Ovis aries: one gene and its partner. The protein of the gene in region 1 purifies or fractionates together with the protein of each later gene. This does not show direct contact. Links are inferred from orthologs where the notes say so. Each region holds a gene or a part of one and is shown in the gene's direction. Other genes may lie near its edges.

The links. Proteins that work in one complex are often made in the same cells at the same time.
Region 2: the proteins of AMFR (region 1) and ERLIN2 purify together in Homo sapiens (affinity purification with western blotting; 4 studies listed by BioGRID and IntAct, with this or other methods). This does not show direct contact. The link is inferred for Ovis aries from reciprocal best matches to the Homo sapiens genes AMFR and ERLIN2.

Annotation. Positions count from the first base shown.
Region 1 is NC_056067.1:23,704,464-23,710,689, forward strand, and holds the start of AMFR (E3 ubiquitin-protein ligase AMFR), read left to right. Parts: upstream 1-2,688; 5' UTR 2,689-2,880; coding exon 2,881-3,147; intron 3,148-6,226. UniProt on the Homo sapiens protein: E3 ubiquitin-protein ligase that mediates the polyubiquitination of lysine and cysteine residues on target proteins, such as CD3D, CYP3A4, CFTR, INSIG1, SOAT2/ACAT2 and APOB for proteasomal degradation.
Region 2 is NC_056079.1:32,111,959-32,117,715, forward strand, and holds part of ERLIN2 (erlin-2), read left to right. Parts: intron 1-1,456; coding exon 1,457-1,518; intron 1,519-1,694; coding exon 1,695-1,820; intron 1,821-5,384; coding exon 5,385-5,458; intron 5,459-5,618; coding exon 5,619-5,677; intron 5,678-5,757. UniProt on the Homo sapiens protein: Component of the ERLIN1/ERLIN2 complex which mediates the endoplasmic reticulum-associated degradation (ERAD) of inositol 1,4,5-trisphosphate receptors (IP3Rs) such as ITPR1.

The DNA of each region.
Region 1 (6,226 bases):
GCCATCTCATCCTCTGTGGTCCCCTTCTCCTGCCCCCAATCCCTCCCACATCAGAGTCTTTCCCAATGAGTCAACTCTTTGAATCAGGTGGCCAAAGTACTGGAGTTTCAGCTTTAGCATCATTCCTTCCAAAAGAACACCCAGGGCTGATCTTTAGAATGGACTGGTTGGATCTCCTTGCAGTCCAAGGGACTCTTCAAGAGTCTTCTCTAACACCACAGTTCAAAAGCATCAATTCTCTGGCGCTCAGCTTTCTTCACAGTCCAACTCTCACATCCATACATGACTACTGGAAAAACCATAGCCTTGACTGGACGGACCTTCATTGGCAAAGTAATTTCTCTGCTTTTCAATATGCTATCTAGGTTGGTCATAACTTTCCTTCCAAGGAGTAAGCGTCTTTTAATTTCATGGCTGCAGTCACCATCTGCAGTGATTTTGGAGCCCCCCAAAATAAAGTCTGACACTGTTTCCCCATCTATTTCCCATGAAGTGATGGGACTAGATGCCATGATCTTCGTTTTCTTAATGTTGAGCTTTAAGCCAACTTTTTCACTCTCCTCTTTCACTTCATCAAGAGGCTTTTAGCTCCTCTTCACTTTCTGCCATAAGGGTGGTGTCATCTGCATGTCTTAATAGCCCATTAAGATTTGACAAGTTTGGTGTATGATATTTTGTAACTGTATTGTGACTTGGATTGAATGTGGATTGTAGGATAGTGTGGTTTAAAATTTATGGGAGAGTCAGATAAAGTAGAACATTTACTTCTGTGGAAAATTACATCCCTTTTTCAAAGTGAAATTTTAATTTACCAATACAATTGTAAGTTTAGCATTTTAATCAAATGGCTGCAGATAGAGAATCAAAGGGCACCGAAAGTGTAATCATACAGATCTCATATGAAAAAGTGTGTGTGTGTGTAGGCGCTCATCCTCCCTCCCTGGTAAAAGCCAAACTGTTGTGTTCATCACAAGGCCTTTAATAGGATGTTTCTAAATATTGCAAATTGGATAGTAATAACCTTGAGCTGAACCATCTTTTGTTTTCTAACTAATAAATTTTTAGTATTAGAATACTGGGCATGAGACTTTGAACATAATTTAGTCTTTTGCCTTTGAAAGTTTGTAAGACTCGACAAATATTTGCTGAACACCTACTCTACATCAGGCACTTGTCAAGGCCTTAGAGATACAACAAGGAATAAGTGCTACCCCCCAAGGTAGCACTTTTGTTCTGTAGTTCTTTTTTTTTTTTTTTTTTCTGTCTTTTTTGTTGTTACAGCCTTATTGGGCTATAATTTACATAATTCACCATATAACTATACAAATAAAGATTTTTAGTATATTCAGAGTTCTGCTACAGTCACTAAAATTTTAGAACATTTTCATCACCTCAAAAAGAAATCCATGTTTAGCTTTTATACCTGTTTCCTCATCTCCCTATTGCTCATCAGTCATTAACCTACTTTATGCTTCTGCCTATGCTGGACATTTCATATACATGGACTTGCACTATGTGCCCATTTGTGTCTGTGCTTATACTTAGCACATTTTCAAGCGTTGTCCTTGTAGCATGTTTTCCTACTTCATTTTCATGGCTGACTACTATTCCATTTTAGGGGGTAATCCCTTATTTATCTATTCGTCCCTTGAGTGACATTAGGGTTGTTTCTAACTCTGACTGTTAAGAATAACGTTGTTATTGACATTTGTGTGGACATTTTGTGTGGCAGTGTGTTTTCATTTCTCTTGGGTATACCACCTAGGAATGGAATTGCTAGGTCAAATGGTCACTCTTAGGTTTAAACTTTTTGAAGAGCTGACATCACTTTCCAAAATATCCTCACTATGTTACATTCCTACCTGGGGTATGAGGGAACACATTTTTATTTCCTGATGTTGAAGCTGAAACTCCAATACTTTGGCCACCTGATATGAAGAGCTGACTCATTTGAGAAGGCCCTGATGCTGGGAAAGATTGAGGGCAGGAGGAGAAGAGGACGACAGAGGATGAGATGGTTAGATGGCATCACCGACACAATGGACTTGGGTTTGGGTGGACTCCGGGAGTTGGTGATGGACAGGGAGGCCTGCCGTGCTGCGGTTCAAGGGGTCGCAAAGAGTCGGACACGACTGAGCGACTGAACTGAACTGAAATCAGGTTCACTTTAGACTTCGCCGGGTGTTACTAGTAAACAGCAGAAACTTTATTTGCGAGGAATTTGAGAGTGTTGATTTATTGTCTTTCCATGGGGCCAGGGCTTCTATTATTCCCTGAGCACTGTCTCCTCTTTCAGCCACTTGGGAAGCTCCCAGGCCCACAGGGAGGCTCTGGGGTAACTTGCTTACGGGGAGGTTAAGGAAACTAAGGACAAGTGGCCGGACGCCCGGTGGCCCGGGTCCCCGCGTCCCGCGGGTGGGCCCACGCGGCCAGCGCTCGACCGCCCGTCAGCGCCGTCGGGCCTGAGTGACGCTTGGGCCCGGCCTGGGGCGGGTGCCCTAAGCGTCCGCGGGCCAGGCCGAGCTAGAGTGTCGGCGGAAGATAATGCTGGGTGCTGGGCCGCAGGGCCTGCGGCCGGGGCCTCCGCCAACTAGGCGGCAGCGCGACCGCTGGGGGCGGGGGACCGAGGCCGCGCCCCCGCGCCCGTCCCGCCCGCACCCTGCTGGGGGCGGCGGCCAGCCCCGAGCCAGCCGAGGCTCTTCCGCGCCGGCAGGGGCAGCAGCGGGAGCGGCGCGGGGCGGAGCGGCCAGGAGCGGCCCGGCCCGGCCCGGCGCGGTGGCGGCGGCGGCGACGCCAGAGCTCGTGGGCGCCGTTCGCGAGGCCGCCGGGACCCGGCCGCAGCGCGGGGAGACCTGGGGGCTGGAAGCCGCCGCTGCCGCCATGCCGCTGCTCTTCCTCGAGCGCTTCCCCTGGCCCAGCCTCCGCACCTACACGGGCCTCAGCGGCCTGGCCTTGGTCGGCACCATCGTCAGCGCCTACCGCGCTCTCAGTCAGCCCGAGGCCGGGCCCGGGCCCGGGCCCACAGAGGCGGAGCCGGTAACGGCCCCGGTGCAGCCAGACCCGGCCGCGCTCGTCCGGCCGAGCGCCGGGGGACCCCGGGCCCGCGACGTGGCCCAGTACCTGCTCTCGGACAGCCTGTTCGTGTGGGTGAGCGAGGATGCCGGGCCCGCCGAGGAGGAGCGCAGCGGGGCGAGGGGTGGGGGCCGCCATGTCACCCATTATCTGTGGGGGGCGTGGCTGGGGCCGGGGTCCCCTCCCCCCCGGACCCCGGAGTGTGAGGCGGCGGTGGGGGGGGCCCGCCCGCGTACGGCCTCCGTGGGACCCGGTGAGGGTTGGGGTGTGGCGGTGGGGTCGTGAGGGGCAGCGGGTCCCCGGGGGCGGGTGGTCTTTGAGGGCCTGAGGAAGGGACTTTGGGACGCGGTTGGGGAGGCGCAGGGGGCGGGGCGCAAGGGAACGCGGCGGCCGGCCAGGGACGGGCGGGGGGAGGAGGTGGGGGAGGGTTGGGAATCCGGGGAGAAGTAAAATATGGGGGGCCGAGTTGGGGTTGCTGGGGGGCCACCAGGAAGTAACTGGAAGACCTCAAAGGGCAGTCAGTTACCCCGGAGTTGGGAAGGCTTTTCGGACGCGGTCAGGCAGGGAGATGTTATCGCGTTTCACGTGTAAAGAGAAAAGAGACAGAATTTCAGTTGTTGAGCATAGGAGAATTTTGGGCATCTGAGTGTGTTTGGACGTTGTTTGGAGAGGGACCGTCTCCCACAGCGTTTTTTTTTCTTTCTTTCTTTATTATTGTCCTCTTTGAGTGGACCTACAACAAATACAAGACTGTGCTTCCTTTCCTGCTGATTTTTACCTGGTGATTCATGAAAGTTTCCTTTGATGTCTGAAGGCAGCCAAAACATTTGGAGTCGGGAGATGTCTCTTCATTTTAACTCAGGGTTTCTCCTGCTAGTGATCCATGTTAAAACAAGGTCTCCAGTTTGTCTGCCAGTGTAAGATAAGCAGCGTTTAGGAGGCATAAATGCTAGTTTCACTTATTAGAACAGATAATTTCAGGCAGGCAGATCAACAGTATTTTGGCTAAGGAACTTGGTTTCCAACTTGGCCTTTGAATGCCACATAGAAATCCCACAGTGATCAGGAAAAGTTGTTCTGGGACTGAAGTCTGTCCCTAGGGTTTGCTGTGGTGTCTTGAGTCTTGTCTCCTCCTGTAAGTTCCCATTTCGGTTGAGAGTCGGCTGTAAATGACTGGGGTTAATATTCCAAGTATACGGAATGATACACAGCTCATTTGTTGTAATTAATCCCACTGTGCTTCATCAGGAAGCAGTGGGATTTATGAACTCTGTGGGTGTAGATTAAGTCTCTTGGTCCTTCTGATGAAGAGATTAGTAGAAGGAAGGGAAGGGTGAGGTTCCCTTCTTCCACTGCTGTGTAAAGCTGAACCTTAGAGTAGGGAAGAAGGGAGAAGAGAAAGAACTCAACCCATGTCTCTTGTTTAATGTATGTTAAACCTAGATTTTTAAAAATCTGTTTTTTGCATTTTAATTAGATAAAGTAATGTGAAGAGTGCTTTTGTCAAATGTTGAGATTATAATATAGTCTTTGATATATATATATATTTAAGTATAAGATACAAGTAAGCCTTTGAGATGGAACTGCTATAGTGTTTAACAACTGCTGCTGCTGCTGCTGCTACTAGTATTGCTTAATCGGAGAAGGCAATGGCAACCCACTCCAGTACTCTTGCCTGGAAAATCCCATGGACAGAGGAGCCTGGTGGGCTGCAGTCCATGGGGTCGCTAAGAGTCCGGCACAACTGAGCGACTTCACTTTCACTTTTCACTTTCATGCATTGGAGAAGGAAATGGCAACCCACTCCAATATTGGGGGAGTGGGGACCGGGGAGCCTGGTGGGAGGCCGTCTGTGGGGTTGCACAGAGTCGGACACAACTGAAGCAACTTAGCAGCAGCAGCAGCAGTATTGTTTAATGATTACCCCCCCAGTCTCTTTGTACAAAACTCATTCCAGTTCCAAGGTTAGCACCTCTTCATAAAACATTACATAAACATAAAACATTAAAGCCTGTTGATTTTCTGTGAAAATTATGATTTTTAAGAAAATTTCCTTTTCTTCCCAGCTTTTTCAACAGAGATCTTGCCTCCAGTGAGTTTATGATTTCTTCCTCTCCGTGGATGATTTTTTTTTCTTTTCTCAGTTGGTCTTGCTGCTGTTCTTCCATCTTTTCCTCTGTGGTTTTCACACTTTTATCTTGGTTTTCCTTGGTTCCTCGGAGAAGACAGTGGCACCCCACTCCAGTACTCTTGCCTGGAAAATCCCATGGACGGAGGAGCCTGGTGGGCTGCAGTCCATGGGGTCGCGAAGAGTCGGACACGACTGAGCGGCTTCACTTCACTTCAGACCTTCCATGTGTGCATTATCAGTTTTCCTCATCACCCATTACTTAAGTTTCTGCTCTAGTAGCGGAATAGGAGTTGCAATCTCCAAAGCCTTCCTCTGAGACCTGCCAGATAGCATAATTAAGTGAATACATGGTGGAGTCTTTGTTAAAATGGATCCTGTTTTTTGTTTTTGTTTTTTTTTGCTCTGCCCAAGGACACTCATTCAGTTTTTAAAAAACAAGCAAGACAAAAAAATCTTTCTGCCAGTTTGTAAAACCCTGCTAGCTATTATTTTGCATATTGCTCTCTAAAACTTATTTTCATAGGGCACAGTTTAGATGAAAATAGCTAGGAATATGTCTTCTTTCTAATTAATGTCCTAGTGATTTTCCTCTCGTTAATGGTTGAGAAACTGATCAGGGAGAGGATGGGCTGATCAGGGAGAGGATGGGGTAGGGGGTGAAGGTCAGGTTATGTAAACCTTGCCTGCTCTGTTAAGGAGTGTGAACGTTATTTCATGGGCAGAAGGGTTTCAGTGGGAGTAGAGGGGAGAAGGCGCTGTCATGATGAGAGGATTTTTTCAGGGGGCACCTGTGGCAGCAGTGGGGAAGATGGATTAAAGACTCCAGCTCCGAGGAGAGCTCTCCTGGTGGCCCTCTGGCATGGATATTGAGAACAGGTTTGAGGGGAGGTTCTCAGTGTGTTACTCTTAACAAATACCCAGATTTGTCTTGATTGTTTTTTTCTTTATGTCTTTCTAGAACTTCCATTCCAAACTTTCATTCCAGATTAGGTTTTATTTTGTTATTTATTTCTAGGCTAATTT
Region 2 (5,757 bases), on another chromosome or scaffold:
TAAATAACTTGATAGAGAAGGATAACTTTAACAGCACTAAATATGGAGAATGTTGGAAAGGTAGTAGGAGAAGACTGCAGGGCAGGGAATTGAAAGAACTGCTGCAGTGGTCTGATTGAAAAGTCAAGGTGGTCAGAACAGGGACAGAGCAACAAAGTAAACCACGCACTCGGACAGATACAGAATCGGAACTTCCCACAGGATAGCTGGCCTGATCTCATCACAAAGGCTTTGTATTTGGAGAACTTGGGTCGAAAAGGAGACATAAAGACATAAGCAGTGCAGTGGTGAACCTTGATTAGAGCCCGGTTCCAACAGAACAGCTCTAAAAGATGTTACGGAAACTGTTAGTCATCTTGGACTGCCATAGTGGAATACCATCGCCTGGGTGGCTGAAACGATAGACATTTATTTTTCTCACGGTTGCAGAAGCTCAAAGTTCAAGATCAGGGTGCCAGCAAGTTGGTTCCTGGCCTGCAGGTGGCTGTTTTCCTGTGTCCTCACATGGCCTTTTGGCTGTGCATGTGTGGAGAAAGAGAGATCTCTGCTGCCTTTGTCTTCTTTGCTTTACCAGTCTGGTCAGTTTAGGGCCCTATCGTTACAACCTCATTCAACCTTAATCACCTTTGTAAAGGCCCTGTCTCCAAATGCACTCACTTTGGGGGCTCCAGTTTCAGCATGTGGATTTTGGGGCGCACACAATTCAGTCCATGATGGGAACTTGTGGGAAAAATTAGAGAAGGGCTCGTTAGATGAAGAGGAATTATCGCTAATTTCTCTAGCTTTAGGAATGGTATTGTGACTCTGTAGGGGACTGTCATCATTCTTAGGTGATTGGTGCTTGCCAGGTGTTGGTGGGTAAAGTATCCTGACTACAGCTTGCTTTGAAATGTTCAGCAAAAAAAAAAGAAAAAGTAGATAAATCAATAGGTAATAAAATGTTCATGATTGTTAAAGTCAGGTGTTGGTATATGAGTGTTAGTTGTACTGTTCTTTTCTGTATGTTTCAAAGTGTTTCCTAATGAATATTGAGGGCAAAGTAGGGAGAGGGCTGAACTAAAGTGATGGTGAAAACCGTGAGAAACACTGACCCAAACATTCCACGTTTTAAAGTTCTGAGAACCCCGTGACCTTGCTTAGTCTTTCCCCTGCGATTGGTAGCTTTATTCAAAAGTCATTGCAGAGTTAAAACATACAAACTACACTTCTTGTATCTCAAAAGTTTCACTTTTGTCCTCGTGGAGATGTTTTTAGGAAGTATGATTTCTCAGGAGATTATGATAGAAACTCAGAAGGTCTCCTGCCTTGAGATCCACACACCTGTGACCCCCATGAACCCTCCTCCTTTCCTGCCAAGTCCCACGCACGCGCACACATACATAGCACCACCACCCCGGGAGAGGCCCAATGTTCCCAAGCTCAGCACTGACCACGCTGTCTGCGCTTCCTCCAACAGCGGTGGTGTGATGATCTACTTCGACAGAATCGAGGTGGTGAACTTCCTGGTCCCACACGCAGGTACCTCCCCTAGCACACCTCACCCCCTCCCCCGAAGCCCACTCTCCCTGGCATCATCCCCGAGTCTCCCCCCACCCAACCCCCATGTCTGTCATAGCATCTCGGGAAGGGACAGCCCGTGTGTCTGAGCGTGGCAGGTCCTGCCCTCCTCACTCTGAACGTCTCCTTCCCCGCAGTGTATGACATAGTGAAGAACTACACAGCCGACTACGACAAGGCACTCATCTTCAACAAGATCCACCACGAGCTGAACCAGTTCTGCAGTGTCCACACGCTTCAGGAGGTCTACATTGAGCTCTTCGGTAAGAAAATCTCTTCGGATGATCACCTGCTGCCTGATTCAGCTGCCCACAGGGCAGGGTGGGTGTCAAGGGACCGGAGTGTTGAAGATCCAGTGCCCGGGAAGCAGGCAGTCACACGGGGCACTGCCAGGAAACACAGGTGCCGATGGAAGAAGATGGTGAGAGTGGCTGAGTGTTGGACACGGGAGTCATAGTGAGCGATAGGACTCGCTCCTGCCCTGCGTCAGACCTGGGATGGAAATATGTTCCCATGTCCCTGAACTTCCTTCTATAATGAAGAGGGGTCAGTTCCAGAAGAACCTTAGAGATTACCCAGCCCAGCATCCTCCTTTCAAGATAAGGATACCAAGGTCCCGAGGGAGAAAGTCCCAGGGCTGGCTGGGAGCAGAGGTGAAGTCCAGACCCCCCTCCTCTGGCTTCTGGCTGCATCCACCTCACCCTGGATGAAGGGCGCCAGGACAGGGTGATGAGAACCACGGGGTTACATTTTGTTGTTTGCTTCAGTGTGTTTTTATTTTGGCCGCACCACAAGGCATGTGGGATCTTAGTTCCCCAACCAGGGATCGAATGCACACCCCCCACACTGGAAGCATGCAGTCTCAACCGCTGGGCCTCCAGGGAAGTCCCAACGGGTCACATTTAATTCTAGAAGTGGGACAAGGACTGTAACTACTTAAGAGTCCCTAGAACCTGTGTGGCTTTCGGTTGTTGTTAGTGATGGTTTTTTACCCTGTACCCATAGAGAAGAATAGGAAAACACTTAAAACAGAAAGGACCCACTTTGGTCTTAAGTTGACACTTTCTTTCCTTTTTTCCTGATCAAAGAAAACATAGCCTGACTTCAGCAACAATGAAAAGAGGCATTTCAGTAATTGTTATAGCTCATTTGGGATAAAGTGTTCTGTTAAATTCACTGCTAGGAGTGTTCTAGAAGCCAGGGCTAAAAGCAAATGAACTTTGCAACCAGTGGTACCACTGTTCTTAATGCCAGGACCAGACAGTGGTTTTCCCCAGGATTCTTAATTTAAAGGGCCTGGAGTGAGAATATCCCATAGACAGAGGTGGAGTCGTTGGCGACACCAGTGATCTTAACTAGGCAAACAGCCTTTGGCCCTCTGTTACAAATTTGGAAAGTCATCAGAAGCCATTTTAACTTTTCTGCAGAATAAAATGGGTCTAAATTCACTTTATGGACTTTGAAGTCTCTTCCCATGTTTGGATTTGGTGTGCTATTGAGAAAAATTCAGTAACTTTGCTATTTTTTTGACCTCAACCCGATAGAATTTCATAAAATATCCTTAGTTTTCTCTCTAGCCATCGTTTTAGAACTAGTGCCAGTAAATGAACATTACAAAGCGTTTGCAACAGCGAAAGATCTCTAATTTCTATGCAGAGAGAATTAAGATGTGAAATTGTTCTGCATTGGAAAACTCACTGTCTTGTCTTGCAGATGAACTTGGCAGTGCAGTAAAGTAAAGCTTTGTGTACGGAGGAGCTTGGGATTTATGTTTGCGTTGGAATATTTTCCTTTTTAAAGTTCCTTCTTGCCAGCTAGCACTGTTTTGCTTAGCATCCATTTGCATCTGCAAAGGAGAAACTCGAGTCTCTAATCCTGGGTCCTGATAATGGAAGGGTTTTCTCTGGCCCCCTCCTCCCAGTACTCATAGGCCTAACTTTCAGCTTGATGCAGTTTTTATCACCGCTTACACCGAGGCATCCATGTTTCCCGTTTGATGAAAGTGTTATCCAGTACTTTGTGTTTACTTAGTTCAGTTCAGTCACTCAGTTGTGTCCAGCTCTTTGTGACCCTGTGGACTGCAGCACACCAGGGCTTCCCCGTCCATCACCAACTCCCGGAGTTTACTCACAGTCATGACCATCGAGTCGGTGATACCATCCAACCATCTCATCCTCTGTCGTCCCCTTCTCCTCCCACCTTCAATCTTTCCCAGCATCAGGGTCTTTTCCAATGAGTCAGTTCTTCACTTCACTTAATCAGTTCTTAACTTAATCAGCGTTGTCAGCATAACCATCACACATAAACAACTTGGTCCTGATGTAAATTTGTTAGTAAGGTATCTTGTAAAATATTTCCTCTAGATTTTCCTGGAAAGTTACTAGCCCAGGGCCATGGGTATCTTCCTTGACTCAGATAGAATTTAATCTGAGAAACAACCATGTTATTAGCTTATGGAGGATATGAGCTGTTTCCCTTAAAGTTTGGCCAGTCTCTTATTTAAAATAGAAAATATGGAATGTCATGTTCATCTCTAGCCATCAAATTGTTACACCCATGTCAGGTGTGAGGTGCTGCCCTTATGGTCTGCCTCAGTGCTGAGAGGCTGGTGGGAGCATATGCATATGTAGAAACATTAATACCCCTTGCTTAGTGATATGACTATTGAAGAAAGTACTGTTCTAAACCCTAACGATCAAAGCGTAATAATTAAACAAGTTCTTTATCTTGACTCTTGATTAGCTTAAGCATATCCCCAAACCTCTGTGGGCCTCAGTTTGAGCATTTATAACAGGCAGGGAGTTAGACTTGCTGTTTCTCAAAGGCTCCTGGACCAAGAATGGCCACGTAAAGCAGCTGGCCGCTGACAATAAAGGAGGTGGTTCCATGTAGGTGTCCCAGGCTGGTTTCAGGGTGTCCTCTTCTCAGGGCCCTTCAAGAAGCTTATTGATCTTGTGGGTGGGGGCAGGGAAGGGAAGGCCCAGGCCAGCGCTGACAGCCTGTTCTGGGGTCACAGCTAGAGCGGCGATCAGTTGCAGATCTTCTGACACTTACCCATAAAATGACTCACAGACAGAAGAATCAGAACCAAGGCAAACAACACATCAAAAGACTCAGGCTCAGGACTTCCCTGGCAGTCCAGTGGTTAAGACTGCGCTTTTAGGGCAGGGGGCGTGGGTTCAATCCCTGGTCAGGGAACTAAGATCCCACAAGCTGAGTGGCTCAGCCAAAAAAAAAAAAAAATGTTTTAATGTTTAAAAAAAAACTCAGACTCCTTTCCAGAACTGTACATTGTCCTTTTCCCCTTGATTGATGGAGTACCTGATGGAATTAGTCTTCCTTGGGGCCTCTCTTGATGTCAGAGTCTGTTTTTGTTTTAGAAATTTATTAATAGATTTAGTGTGTTTGACTCCTTTCAAAATACCTGACGTGGCCGTTCCACCTTCCTTCTTTGTGAAAGATGGGTGGCCACCTTCTCTGCTGCTGTCTGTAGGGAAGGGCTGCTTCCTGACTCAAGAAATGTGCTGGAGTTGTTGTTTGTTCTTTTAAAGCTCAGTTCCCTTCTGGGCGAGGTTGATGTTTTCTTGAGGCCCCAGGGAAGGGACACTCCCTTCTGGCCACGTAGCGGGCCCAGTGGGTGTCCGCCGTGAGAGTCTTCCAGGGAGTCTTTGGATGTTCGAGCTCTGAGGAGCGCTGTGCCTCGGGAAGAGCTTTGGCCCGTTGGGTGCATTCCTGAGCTGGTGTCTTGCCTTGCTCTCTACCCCATGCTTCCCTCCACCCCTCCTAGAAAACATCTCAGCTCTGTGTTCTGTCTGTCTTGATTCCAGATCAGATTGATGAAAATCTCAAACTGGCTCTGCAGCAAGACCTGACCTCCATGGCCCCCGGGCTCGTCATCCAAGTGAGCACCACCCTGGTGGGACACCCCCGCCCCGCCCCCACCCCCAGGAAGGCACAGCCCCTCTTCAGAGGGTGTCCTGTCTGTGCAGGAAGACCAAGGGCCCGTGGGAGCTGGTCGCTCCACACCCCACGCCCCAATCAGGTGCTGTCTCTCTCTCCAGGCTGTGCGGGTAACAAAGCCCAACATCCCAGAAGCCATCCGCAGGAACTACGAGCTGATGTGAGTGCCCACCTGGGCGGAGGCACCGCCCTCCCCGCCTCCTGCTCATCCCCTCCCAGGGCTGACCAAGCCTGGCGCGT